2 linked regions of the Canis lupus familiaris genome follow. The protein of the gene in region 2 binds, or shares a complex with, the protein of the main gene of each other region. Links are inferred from orthologs where the notes say so. Each region holds a gene or a part of one and is shown on either strand. Other genes may lie near its edges.

The links.
Region 1: EIF4A3 (region 2) and MAGOH share a complex: the UniProt entries of both Homo sapiens proteins name them as parts of the ALYREF/THOC4-EJC-RNA complex. The link is inferred for Canis lupus familiaris from reciprocal best matches to the Homo sapiens genes EIF4A3 and MAGOH.

The regions. Positions count from the first base shown.
Region 1 is NC_049226.1:56,147,637-56,154,842, reverse strand, and holds the start of MAGOH (protein mago nashi homolog), read right to left. Parts: upstream 4,403-7,206; 5' UTR 4,273-4,402; coding exon 4,185-4,272; intron 1,554-4,184; coding exon 1,495-1,553; intron 234-1,494; coding exon 123-233; intron 1-122. UniProt on the Homo sapiens protein: Required for pre-mRNA splicing as component of the spliceosome. Plays a redundant role with MAGOHB as core component of the exon junction complex (EJC) and in the nonsense-mediated decay (NMD) pathway.
Region 2 is NC_049230.1:2,446,291-2,453,396, forward strand, and holds part of EIF4A3 (eukaryotic initiation factor 4A-III), read left to right. Parts: intron 1-1,045; coding exon 1,046-1,118; intron 1,119-1,705; coding exon 1,706-1,772; intron 1,773-2,207; coding exon 2,208-2,270; intron 2,271-2,843; coding exon 2,844-2,976; intron 2,977-3,171; coding exon 3,172-3,252; intron 3,253-4,918; coding exon 4,919-5,060; intron 5,061-5,440; coding exon 5,441-5,579; intron 5,580-6,355; coding exon 6,356-6,471; intron 6,472-7,106. UniProt on the Homo sapiens protein: ATP-dependent RNA helicase. Involved in pre-mRNA splicing as component of the spliceosome. Core component of the splicing-dependent multiprotein exon junction complex (EJC) deposited at splice junctions on mRNAs.

The DNA of each region.
Region 1 (7,206 bases), on a different chromosome or scaffold from region 2:
GTAATGTACTTTGTGTAGGGCTCCATTAATACATACACACAGATTCAATGTCATACGCACGGCAGTAAAACTCCTCTTACTTCTTAAAACTTCTGCTCTATAGGACAGTTGCTAACACTCACCTGCCGGCCCACTCGATCCGGGGGAGGCCACAAGGCATCATCCTCTTTGGTAATTTCACTGTCATCAATTATTCTCTTCAGTTCCTCCATTACACTTTTATGTACATAAGCCTGAAAGCAAATTAAAAAATGGAATTTAACTTGCATCCCTAAGCAAGTGTTCTGACTCAGATAATGATTAAAGATTAAAAAGAAAAAAAAAAAAAAACCTGCTAATAAAAACTGGTCTCTGGCACCACTGTAAGGTAGATGGCATTCAGGTGTGACCTCAGCATGCTCAAGAGGGCAGGGCCAGAAGTGCCCAGTGACTATACATCATACCCCATCTACCGGTTTCTACTTCTTGGCACATCCTGTTCACTTGGAACTTCTCCTTGCTTACAGACTGAATTCACACCTGAACCCAGAACAAAAGATCTGTGAGTGAACCCTGGTTATTCCTACCGAGATGACATGCTTATGAAGACCAGAGACACATCTTTTAAAATACATTTTGTATATCAGTCCACACATAAAATATATATGTATATAAGCAGGCTGAGACATGTGGGTAAACATAAAACTGAATGCTAGTTAAACATAACAGTATGAAGATATAGTAACTGTTAAGACATTTTCAAATGTGACAAAGTGGTTAAAAGGAAAGAGAAGCTTTGATGAAGCCTCAATAGTGAGGCAGAAATTAAGCAAAATAGAGCACATGGACTTGACAGAGGCAGGCATAGCTTTGAATTCCCACTCTATCTCTTGCTCGTCAGGATGAGGTGACTTTGAACAAGCCCCATAATTAACATCTGGGCCTTCATTGTAAAGGGTATATAATACCGCTAATCAAAAAGGCTTACAATCAGGGTGAAATAAAATCATATGTAAAACACCAAGTGCCAAGCCTGGCATCTAACCTGCATTCAATGATGTGAACTGCTTTCCCATGTTCCCTTTCCCCCATCCAAATGCAAATTAAAGAGCTCTTCTGAAAGCTATGCACCAGGAAATACACAAAACACTTTAGGTATAATGTATTTAATTCTGTGATAGCACTGGGGGGGGGGGGGGGGGCAGGTTAATTATATCTGTTTCTGCAGACAAAGAAACTAAAACTTATCAAGCCAGGTTATTTGCCCAGGGGCATAGAGTAAATAGCAGATTCAGGGTTTAAACCAAGATTTGCAAGACTTTAAATGATTACAAAAGTGGTTTAACATTGTAAAAGAAAATATAAACTAAAAGATGTGAGAAAAATTTTAGAAGGTGTCTATAGATATGTCTATACTTCTCTATTCTTTTTCAATACTACTTACTCCCAGAAAGAACAAAAACATGACAAAAGGCTAAATTGTAGTGAAAGAAAGGCTCTCAGAAGGCTCATTACCTCTTTTCTGATCATGACATCATTTTTGTAATTGCTGTTGTTGGCATATCTCAATTTCCCTGTGAGGAGCGAAAAAACAAATTCAGTGTATATTAAAAACGTATAAATAAAGCTTCATTAGCTCACCAAGACTATCAGCTGTTGCTTAAAATGTATCCTAGCTTTCCCCTCAGCGTCTACCAGATTTACTATTCAAACTTCTGATGTTCCAACAATAGCAGTCTTTCAGTTCTTTATTTTCGGCTATTAAGTAGCTTCAAAGCCAGAATATTGCTGACATTGAATTATAATTCTTGCAAAAGGCAGCTCAGGTGTGATAAAAGAACATAAGCAGAACATTGTGACTCTGGCAAATCATATCTCTGCAGGTTAATGTCCTCAGCTGAAAACAGGGATAGTGATGGTAACTTACTTGCACATAAGGCCTCCTGAGGCTCAGATGAATTGTGAAAGCAGTTTGAAAATTGTAAAATGCTGTTTACATATTATTCATGTGACCATGCAATACTCTGATCTATTCCTATGGTGGAAAAGTTTTGGTTTTATTATTAAGCATATTTGGTATACAAGGCCTTTTGTGTGTATATGCATCCAAAAGGCTATATGCTAGATATGAAGGAAAAGAAGAGAAAAGGAAATAGATGAATTTTTACCTTTGGGATTACACATGTAAAAAGAGCCAGATTAATTGATGCCTCACTGCACTCACTATCTCTGCCTTGTCTCTCTTGGTTCAGTTCATTCTCCATACGGTAGACAAAGTGATGTAGTAACAGACCAATCTAATTAGGTTACTCTAATACTTTTTTTTTTTGGTAAGATTTTATTAATTCATGACAGATGCAGAGAGAGAGACAGAGACATAGGCAGAGGGAGAAGCAGGCTCTCCTTCAGGGAGCCCAATGCAGGTCTCGATTCCAGGCCCCCAGGACCATGACCTGAGCCAAAGGCAGACGCTCAACTACTTAACCACCCAGGTGCCCCAGGTTACTCTAACACTTTGATAATGACAATAGCTTCTCACTGCCTTCTTTTTTTTTTTTTTTTAATTTTTATTTATTTATGATAGTCACACAGAGAGAGAGAGGCAGAGACACAGGCAGAGGGAGAAGCAGGCTCCATGCACTGGGAGCCTGACATGGGACTCGATCTCGGGTCTCCAGGATAGTGCCCTGGGCCAAAGGCAGGCGCTAAACTGCTGGCACCACCCAGGGATCCCTTCTCACTGCCTTCTTGATAAAAATCCAAATTCTTCAACATGGCATAACTGCTAAGCTGAGCCCCTGCCTGCCTTTCAGGCTCCCTCCTGCAATAGTCCACTCTTACACAGCTGGAGTTAACCACCTTACTTGGTTTCTGCTTGAAACATCCCATGCACTTTTTGGTTTTCAGCTTCTTTGATGTTGATGTCCAAATGCCTAACCAACTCCTGCACATTACTAAGACTATCACTCCTCTTCCCCCAAGTCATTTTATGCAGGAAGCTTTCTCCCATCCTCAGGCTACCTGAGGGTTAGGTTAGGTTGCCTTCTTTCTGCTCCAGAGTCCCTTCCGTTTCTTTGTACCACAGCATCAAACACACTATCCTATCATTGTTTGTTTACAACTGGGGCTTGTCAGATTCATCTTTGTGCCCCCATTTAGTGGGAGGTTTTTTATTTTTTATTTTTGTCATCTTTGATTCCTTTTCCTCCCCACAGTGGTCCTTCCCCCAGATCTTATCAAACAGCAACGTCCTATTGGTTCTGCCTCCAACAGTATCCTGAACCCTTCTATGCGCTTTTGATAGTACCTTAGTCCCAACCAGCATCCTTTTTACCTTGACAACTGTTCACTGTCTCCTAATAAGTTGCCCTGTCTCCACTCTTGCAATGATTAGAATAGATTACTTTTTCTAATCATTACTCTATTTCTAATCATACTCCATGATTAGAATACTTTTTCAGGAAGAGATCACATCTCTTCTCTCCTTAAAACTTTCCAGTTGCTTCCTGCTGCACTTAGAATAAAATCCAAACTCTCCACCATGGCCTGTAAAGACCTACATGGTGTACCCCTGCTTATCTGACATTGTCTCCTACTATTCTCCTCGGAGCTCACTACTTCCTCAGCCATACTGGCCACTTGGAACATGCTCGTTCATGCCCCAAAGCCTTAACACTTGTTACTCCCTCTGTCCAAAATGCCCTTCTTCCCGAGCTTCACAAAGCTGGCTCTCCTTCTTGTCACTTAGGATTCAGTTCAAATACTACCTTTCCAGAGAGCACGCCAGTGGCCACTCTGCTTAAAAGCAGTCCACTTTTTAGCAATTACTCCATCGTTTTGTTTCATGCTCTGACCACTCGTCATTATCTGAAATCTTTGTTTGTTTATATCTCTCCCAGCACCAGAATATATACGCTATGAGAGGAAACTTGTCCCAAATTGTGAAAGAGAGCCTGGCACAAAGTATGCAATCAGTGTCTGCTGAATGAAGCATTCTAGTTAAAAAAAAAAAAAAAAAAAAAAAAGTTCGTGCACATGGGAAGAACCAGCGGAGCGGTCACAGGAGTGGCCCTTTCAGATCCGCGCCGCAGTCATCAGTCCCGTCCTCTCCTAGCTCCTCCTCGCACATTCCGGAGCCCGGGCCTCCCCGCTCGCCCGACCCCAGGCCCCGTCCTCGCTCGGCCGGGGCCAGAGGCCGCTCTTACCGTCGGGCCGGAACTCAAACTCCAGGAACTCATGGCCGAACTTGCCCTTGTGACCCACGTAGTAACGCAGATAAAAGTCACTCTCCATGGTTCATAAGGAGGCAACGGAGACGAAACTTGACCAGCAAACCTCGTCGCCGCGCTGTGCGCCCAACACTGACGTTTACCGGGGCGCGCGGATGTGACGTCAAGGCGAGGCTGCCGGTCGCTGCGAAGCGGCCCAGGCCGTCTGCGTTCCCGGAAGTGGCGGCAAGTCTGGCGCATCCCCCGGCGGAAACCAGAGCCCCGTCGCCCGGAGGCGGGGTCAGCGCAGCCCCGCCCCCTCGGCCGCCGGCGGGAGCGCGGCCACGGGTCGCCCCCGGGTTTCCCGAGGCTCGAGGCCGCAGGCGACGCGAGGGCGCCCGGGCTTGGGCGGCGGGTCTGGGGACCCTGCTTCACGACGTCCGGCTGAGCTCCGCGAGGGCTGCGCCCCAGGCTCGACCTCCGTGTGCGTGGGCCCAACGTGGGCGAGCCCGAGACAGCTGTTCACCGTCGGTGATGAAGGAGCTGACCCCACGGACCGCCGCACGCGCTGGCGCGTGGGTCAGAAGTTGGCTCCGGCCGAACTTTGCTCACGGAAACGCTCCCCACAGACGCCTTTCCTGAATCCGTGGTGCCGCTGCCGTTTCCCTGGAACTGACCTCTCCCTTTTATCCCTTTTACTTTTACTTTTTTTTTTTTTTTTAATTCCTACCTTTCCCTTTCTACTTAACTGGTCTCTAGAGCAGGTGCTGCGGGTAGAGGTTAAACTGGATATGGAATTTCCCCTTCTCGTTTTCTAGGCTCTGCTTACCCGGCAGGGATTCTCCGACCTGGCTGCACAACGGAGTCATTCGGGAGCATCTTAAAAATACTGATGCTTGGGCCCCACCCCAAACCAGACAATCAGGTTCTCTCGCCGCCCTGAACCTGGGCGTTGGTACTTTTTTGCAAACCCCCCCCGCCCCCCCCCCCCCGCCCCAGATGAACAACGGGGCAGGACTGATGCCCAAGAGCCCCTTGTCCTTTCAGGCCAAATTGGTTGACCTCTGTGAAGTCTTTCAGGCTGTGGAAAATTTTCCTCCTTGAGTAGGCAAAGGACAGTCAAAACCCTAATTATTAGGAAACTGCATTAGTTCGTGGAAGTTCCAGTGAGAGCAGGGAATTGTGAAATCAGGTCTAGAGACCGTGCTAAGATGGCATCATTCTGGGGGCCTGACCACTGTAATTGTATACTGTTCTTCATTGAGGTCAGTGGCCTCTTGATTCTCATTCCCAGTCTTAGCATTACTCCTTTTCTTCCCCCCAAAAATAACTGGTGTAGAGTGGGTGTGAAGAGGGAAAATCACTGGAAGCTTGTGTTAAAATAATCCTTGTGTGATTTGATTCGCTATGATCGAAGGTGTGAACTAACCTTCCACGCCACAGTCATCAGTCCCTTCCTCTCCTAGGATCAGTGAATCTCGAGGTTCACTCAAGTTTATCTTTAAAATGAGGGACAAAAAAATAAAATAAAAATAAAAAATAAAATGAGGGACGCCTGGGTGGCTCAGTGGTTGAGCGTCTGTCTGCTTTTGGCTCAGGGCATGATCCTGGAGTCCCGGGATCGAGTCCCGCATCGGGTTCCCTGCATGGAGCCTACTTCTCCCTCTGCCTGTGTCTCTGCCTCTCTCTCTCTCTCTGTCTCTCATAAAGTCTTTAAAAATAATAATAAAAAATAAAATGAGAAAAATAATGTTATACATCTGGCAGGACTGTTGTAAGAATAGAAAACAAAATCTTGGAAATTGGAAAAATACTTTGCCAACTGTAAATTGCTATAAAACTATAGGGTGTTTTATTTAAACACACACACACACACACACACACTGGGGGACACCTGACTGGCTCAGTTGGTTGAGCATTAGACTCTTGATTTTGGCTCAGGTCATGATCTTGAGGTCCCGGGATCAAACCCTATGTTGGGCCCTCCCCCTCCTCCCAAGCAGGGAGTCCACTTGGGATTCCCTCTCTCTCCCTTTCCTGCTGCCCCTCCCCCTCTAATAAATGAATAAATCTTTAAAAAAAGAAAGCATGGGATATGGGTGGTAACAAGGGAATTGTATGAAAAAGAGAAGGGAACCACGAGGTATTAAGCACCTAATAAATGTGAATCCATTTACAAATGCTTATTCTTTGAATCCTCACAACAGTCTTGAGGCGGTAATTCAATTAAGTATATAGATTCATCAGGTAATTACCACGAAGTTATTTTCCAAGAGTGAACTTATAAAAATTATACTGTTAACTGTTGAATCTGGGCATCTGCAGATGTGGCAAATATCAAACGTTTTGAGAAAACTTAAAGGAACTGGACACCAGTCAGACTGGATCCAGGTTTGGGGGCATGAGACAACATGGTATAGCTGAAAGAACATGGTCTGTGCACTTATTGTTATGTGCTGGGAATAATACAATGGTGAACAAGACAGACCTTTATAGAACTTGCAGAGGAAGCAGTTGAGCATACAAGCAATTATAATGTAGAAGCAACGGTTACAAATAGAGGAAGCACAGACTACTATGGAAGCACATGGGATGGCTCCTAATCCAATCTAGGGGCCTAAGGGAAGTCTTCCTGAAGGAAATGTTCCAGATAGAGGGCCCAGAACTGTGTGGTTGGAATACAGAATGAAGTTGTGAATATAGTAATGAAGTTGGAGAAGGGACAGAAACCAAATGGCTTACAAGGCATATTAAACTAGAATATGGGCCAAAACTCAAAGGTATTGGATTTTAACGCAAGGGAAACAGATGAAGAACTTTAAGCAGGACAATAGAAAGGCTGGTGGTGACGTGACCTCTTGCCTTCTAGAAAAAAAATCACTCTAGCTGCAATATTGGTAGGAAGTTGCTAATAATGATGATCACCCAAGATAATGGTAATGGAGATGATAAACGTGGATGGATTCGTAAGGGGTGGGCAAAGGAGATTAAGATGTGGCCGGAGAGGTAAGGAAAAACC
Region 2 (7,106 bases):
CCCTCGGAGGCAGGGGAGTCTCAGGGGCCTGTGAGCCACCCGGCTGCAGGTGCCGGGAGCCTGGGGAGAGACCGTGTTGGGGGTCCAGACCGGGGCGATCAGCCTCTGTGCTGACGCCTGGGCCTGGAACTCCCTTTACCCAACAGTCCCTGGTGTTAGTTACCAGGTGTAAAGCAGAGAGGGGATGGGAGGTGACAAAGCGGAGGTGAGGCTGATGGTCCTACCCACCTCTCAGCCTCCCCGGCAGCCCTGCCCAAAACACTGTTTTTAGTTTCCCCGCCTGTGTGCTTGCTTGGATGGTCGCTGTGAGGGTTTTTTAAATCATCCGTGTTACAGTTTTAACTTTAGACGGGAAGTCCGGGCTGAGTTTTAAAAGGCTACCGAAGAGTAACTAAGATATATTTTATGCACGTGAGCTTTTGTTTACTTGGGAAATGTTTTTTTTACCCTCTCCAAGTAGCCTCGTTCTAGAGTGATGTCGTAGCTGGTGAAGCTGCATCACAAGTGGAAGGAGCGCAGCGGGCACTCCGCGGAACGGCCCGAGCCGTAGAGTCATTGCTGTGGCAGACAGCACAGACAGCGTGTAGAGCTGATGCAGAGAGGAAAGAGGGGGCGGCCACGGTGCCACTGGATTCATTTTTCTTTCTTGTAGCATAAAAAGTAATGGAAATGTTAAAAGAGCAGCGCAGGCTATCGTAACGTACGCAGTGCAGGAGGAATTGAAGTAAAAGATGAGCCTTTCCCATCCATTCTCAGGAGCACCACCATTAACATTTGGGTGTTTTTTTGTTTTTTGTTTTGTAATCTAACTGGGGTCTCTGCGTTCTGCAATGTTCCTTTTATAGAGATTTTGTCTGTGCACATAAGATCTGTGTTAGTGTAAAAATACAGTTCAACCCAATTCATTCAGCAGCTGTTTCTTGAGCTTTGGTGTGTTGGACTTTGCGCTAAGAGGGGTGGACGTGGGGGCTTAAAAAAAGATACCATCTGTGTCCCAAGGAGCTGCCAGTGTCCTCATGTTAGAACTTTCGCTTTCTTTTTACAGGTTTTGAGAAACCATCAGCCATCCAGCAGCGAGCCATCAAGCAGATAATTAAAGGGAGAGACGTCATTGCTCAGTACGTCACCGGTAGAGAATGGGGTTAGGTGCTTGTCAGCTGAGTACAGCGCTTTGAGGGGACCCCTGTTCTCCCTTTCCACATATGTGTCAGTAGCCCTTTCCTCAGCTTGAGCCACGGTGTCTTGTTTTTTGTTTTTGTGTCCTTTAGAAAGCTGTCATATTCTTAGCCAGCTTCACTTACCTAGCAGCTGGCATGCAGAATGGTTTAGCATACTCTCTTAATGGCTTTATTCCTGATTTGTGTTAATTTTAAAGACTTCTTTACAAGAAAAATTATTTTTGGAGGACGGTTATAGTCCAAAATTGCAGAAGAGAATTACATTTCTATAAAAGGGAGCCTCTTTTTTTGGAGTCTGTAACACCCGTCAGGGTTATAGATCCTGCGGCTCCGACTCCCCTAGTGCAGAAGTTGCATCCTCCTGATCTTACCTTATTGCTCGTGACCCCACCCCGGGCAGTGGAGGAGGAAGCCGCTGTTCTGCAGCTGTCCTGCAGCTGTCCTTTGGAGCACTGCTGTGGTGGGGTGAGGTGAGTGGGAACACATAGCCCATCCTTTTTCACCTCTACCTGTGTTTTCTTGAACAGATCACAATCTGGCACAGGCAAAACTGCCACCTTCAGCATTTCTGTCCTCCAGTGTTTGGATATTCAGGTAATTTGCCAGTCTTCAAATGAACTTATCTTTAATCCTTGGAAATACTTTTGTTTCTTTTGTAACTGCAGTGTCTGAAAAGGACGGTTTTTAAAAATGTGTACTTAGTTGTACTGACTCAAATTTTTCATGATATTCTTAATTACACACTAATAGGAGAGCTAACTAATACTCTGTCCTAAGTTCCTTGTCAGCTAAATGGAGAGAGACATTTTTAGTGGGCATTCTTTTAGTGGCCAAGCAAGAATTCTGCCCAGTGAACCCCATGATGACTGGGTTCACACATGAACTTACATTCAGGTTCCTTTGTCTCTATTAGAAATGAGATGTATGGTTAATGCGATGTAACATTCAAGATAGATCTGCATCTGACTTCGTGCAGTCTGCCTTGAGAATACTGAGGATTCTCTGTTTTCTGACAAATTATTTTACCAGGTTCGTGAAACCCAGGCTTTGATCTTGGCTCCAACGAGAGAATTAGCTGTGCAGATCCAGAAGGTGAGCCACTGAGAGTTAGTGCTGTATTCCCAAGTGCTGCTTTCTGATTCAGGTGTAAAAGGTTGGCTGGTTGATTTAATCTAATCCTGTTTTTTTCCCTCAAATTTTACTTCCTGATTTTTGGCATAAATCATTGTTATGATTTATGTTGTTGGTTTATACTGAGTCATTTTTACTGAGTCATTTTTAGTGTAGCTGGTATGATTCCAGTATCTTTTTGCAGTCTCAGAATTGTAGTTTTTTTCAACAAAGAAATCATTTTAGTAGTTATTTTTGTACTTTATATTAAGATGTTGTTAGAATTGTTTGTGAGTGGCTAAAATTATGAGTTTTACGTATTTCCAGGGCTTTTTGTAATTAAAATGTATTTCTTTCATAAGAAACCAGTAAAGTGAACTTTATTTTGGCATGGAAGCAGGAGGTTGGGTCTTTTTGTAGTTTTATGGTGTAAACGATGGAATAAGTAGTACTTGGTATGTCGGAGTAGAGATTACCTTCACTTTGGGGAAACTTGGAGGTCTCTGACTTTGGTCCTGAGGTGAGGCCCCAGACGTGACCCTTGTTTTAATTCAGGGTCTGCTCGCTCTGGGGGACTACATGAATGTGCAGTGCCATGCCTGCATCGGGGGCACCAATGTGGGAGAGGACATCAGGAAGCTGGACTACGGGCAGCACGTTGTTGCTGGCACACCTGGACGTGTCTTTGGTAAGTGCTTGGGGCGTTACAAGAAGTGCTTGAAGGACCCAGGACCGTTTCCATTTGCTGTGCTGTGTGGTAGCGCTTGCGTGCAAGTGATGTAAGAAGTAGGCAAGAGGCCTCAGAAATGCTCTGAAAACCAGGGGGAATGGCTGGCTGTTTCCTCGTGGTCCGAGGTCTAAGGATATCAAACTGATTCCACAGATATGATTCGGCGCAGGAGTTTGAGGACACGGGCCATCAAGATGTTGGTGTTGGATGAGGCTGATGAAATGTTAAATAAAGGTAGGAGTCACGAAAGCAGAGATTTTCTCTTGACTTTAATGTTAACACGTTCACATCGTGGAGCTGAAACATGGAGCTAACGCCAGTGTTCTCGGTGCTAGCAGATGCCCTCGTGCTCTCCGGGCAGCTGTGAACGTGAAGCTTGTACTTGGCTCTTGGGGAGCTGAGAGCAGTCACGGCCAGAACCACAGCATCTCCGCCCAGACTGGCGCAGCATTGCTCCCACATGTCTGGAGCTCAGCATAGATGGGGAGGTGTGCGGCTGAGATGAGGCGTGTAGAAATGCCTACTGTGGGTTGTGGGGGGCACAACGGTGTGTCAGGGAAGCTAGATTTATGGCAACGGGGCGTCCCATTGTCTAGAGACTGTCATTTATTTAACTAGTTGTCCTGTTAGTTGTCTAGGCTGATTTTACTCTTTTACCAGTTAATAGGATAAATTTCTAGACTGGGACGTGTACTTTCTAGGCTTTTCATGTTGTTTCTACCTGAGTGTCTGAGGACAGATCTGTGATGCCTCTCTGTGTGGCAGCTGTGGCGTTAGTCCAGCGGTGAGGAAATACATCGTGAAGATGTACCTTGAGCCCGGGGCATTGTTACGTGCAGCGACAGGCAGTGCTCCCTCGTGTCTCCCCGCTTGTCCTTTCTGCACACGCCCTCCCCTTCGGTCTCCACATCATACTGGGGGGTATGGGGTGTCTCATAGACATCGGGGTCATCCAGGTGGAGGGAGTGCTTGCCTCTCAGTGCTCATCTGCTGCACGGGTGGGACCCTCAATGGTTCTGATGTCCAGGTCCCTGGAGGCTGATGCTGTCCTGAGGGCTGCCCCCCCGCCCCTCCAGCCCAGGGCTTCTCACCTGAAGACTTTGCTCCTCAGCTGAGAGAGAGGCATAGTGACTGGGGCACTCAGGTGGCTTCCTTAGTGTCTGAGGAAGCCATGGCTTGCTGGTGGCTCCTGTGCACCTGTCCCATGGGCAGCAGTTCTCAGAGTGAGGTCTCCAGACCACCAGGGTTCACGTTATCTGGGAATTTGTTAGAAATGCAGATCTTGGGCTCTGATGTTTGGTTACAACCTCAGTCTGTGAATGGGCTCTCTTGGAGGCTGGGGACCCCCTTGTCTGGGCTTTCTCACACATACTTCCTGGCCCTGTCCTGCCCAGTCAGGCAGAGATGGGGGTGGGGTGAGTGACCTGTGGGCCAGGTCCCAACGATGGAGGTATAATTGACACGTGATGCATTAGTTTCTAGTACACAACTGTAATGATTCCGTATATACATATAGAAGATTTTTTTAACTGGAAGATTGTTTTATAAAAATCCAGATCCCTGGATTCTCTTAAATGTGGGTGATCTTTCCTCAGCGGACAGATCCTCACAGGGTGGCAGGAGCTGGGACTGGGGTCCTGACTGCCAAGAGGCAGCCGAGGTCGTGGGATGACCCAGGGCTGGGGTTCTTTTGCTCTTAAGCATTGGCACCCAGGCCTCCGGGTGGGGCTGTGATCCCCAGAGCCCACCTGGGAGGGGAGGGGTGAGGAGCGGCAGAGAAGTGGGGCACGTGGATTTCCTGGTTCTGTGGAAGATTCCTGGGGAAACCTCACACCTCACAGTCGTCACTTCTGTGTCCAAGTGCAACCTTCAGACTCCCTGTGCCTCCTTCTGTGTCCAGGTTTCAAGGAGCAGATTTACGATGTGTACAGGTACTTGCCCCCGGCCACGCAGGTGGTGCTTATCAGTGCCACACTGCCTCACGAAATCCTGGAGATGACCAACAAGTTCATGACAGACCCCATCCGCATCTTGGTGAAGCGGTAAGAACACCCTGCTTCTGGGTGGTACAAAAACAGCCACGTAGCTTGTATTTAAGCTTAAAACATGAAAATTCTTTGTTTTCTGGTTTGAGAAACCAGCTTACATATGTGTATTGCCCCTTGGCCCAGTAATTCGAAATTTATACACCACCTGATGGTGTTTGTCCGTCTGTGTTGTGGGGGTAAAATACATAAAACAGGGGCTACCTAGTGGCTGTTAAAGGCTCAGACAGGTCAGCATGTGGCCCGAATGGCGGGAGTGCTGACGGCCGGGAGCGGCGGGGGCCGCCGTGGGCCAGGCTAGGAGCAGTGCTCGGCTTGTGTGCGCCCTCAGGTCTCGGTGAGCGGATGAGTTCACAGCACTTGTCTGTATCTTCCAGTGATGAATTGACTCTAGAAGGCATCAAGCAGTTTTTTGTGGCGGTGGAGAGGGAAGAGTGGAAATTTGACACACTGTGTGACCTCTACGACACGCTGACCATCACTCAGGCTGTCATCTTCTGTAACACCAAAAGGAAGGTAAAGCAGTAGCTGTCTTGGCTGTTCAGTGTCCTTTTGGGCAAAACCGAAGGTTGGTTCTCAGAACGCAAGTCAGCCCTGCTCTGTAAAGGCTCAGAAGTGAACAGTCGGATGTATCCAGTGAAACCGAACAAGTGTTGATGCTGGTCTCATGACTGAGGCTTGGGAGTCCGTGGTTTTATTTATTTATTTTTTTAAAGATTTTATTTATTTATTCATGAGAAACAGAGAGGGAGAGGCAGAGACACAGGCAGAGGGAGAAGCAGGCTCCGTGCAGGGAGCCTGACGTGGGACTCGATACTGGATCTCCAGGATCACACCCTAGGCTGAAGGCGGCGTTAAACCGCTGAGCCACCATGGCTGCCCTAAGTGAGGAGGAGGGAGTCCATGGTTTTAGGTGGGACCCAGGCTTCGGTTTTTGTGGGCGCCCAAGTGATGATCATCTGCAGGCAGAGTGGAGAACCCTGGCAGCTCCTTCGAAACCAGAGGGGGAGTTGGGCTGCCTTCCAAGAGATTCAAATTTAAATTTAAAATGAGAACAGTGAGAGGTTTTTTTTTTTTTTTCTTTTGAGAAATTTATATGGAACAAATAGGAGTTTTGCCCCGATGTGTGCTAGGAAAGTTAAGTTTTCTGCACGTCTAATAAAGATTCGTCTGAATTTTAAGAGCACTTGCTCTCAGTGTTCACACTGGTTCTGCAGGTGATCACGATAAAGTCCAGAACAGTCTGGTTTGGTTTCTGAGCTGACGGTGGCATCTGCTGATTTGATGTGCAGGTCGACTGGCTGACAGAGAAGATGAGAGAAGCCAATTTCACGGTGTCGTCCATGCACGGGGACATGCCGCAGAAAGAGCGCGAGTCCATCATGAAGGAGTTCCGGTCTGGTGCCAGGTGGGCCAGCTCCTCTGTCTGCACCCAGTCCCGCTGGTGGTGTTGCTCGGGCCCTCTGTCCGCATGCCTTGCCGGGTCCCCCCATGGCCCCAGGCCCTGCCTTCCCAGCTGAGGTGGGAACTGCTGCTGGTGCCCTAAGCTGGGTTAAGTGGTGGCAGCCTCTCCTGGCTAGGATGGTCGCCTTACCTAAAGGGTGTTTCTTTGTTGCCTGAATGAGGAGATTGTTCGCTCAACTTGCCATGATCTTTAACTCAATCCCACTGTGGTCAGAGGACGTGCATTGATGACTTGTATTTGGATATGCTCAGTGGCCCAGCACATGCTTATCTTTCATATGCTGCGAGTGTGTGTCTGCGGGCCGAGTGCCTTACGGAGGCCACACACCGCGTCCTGTGCCTGCCCCGGAGGTGCAGATGGTCTGCATCCTTGCCTGTGTTTCTCTTAACCGTCTCCTCAGAATTGGGGGCACCATGGGTGCAGCACTTGGAGGCTCAGTGTGCTCTTGCTGGATGTGTCCTAAGGTCGGGTCTGTGGATTCAGAACTCCTCTGTTTACGGAGGAGCTGTTCTTGTCACGGAAGCGTCTGTGTCTCCGTGGGGGTGCTTTCTCCGTCCTGCTGTGATGCACCCACAGCG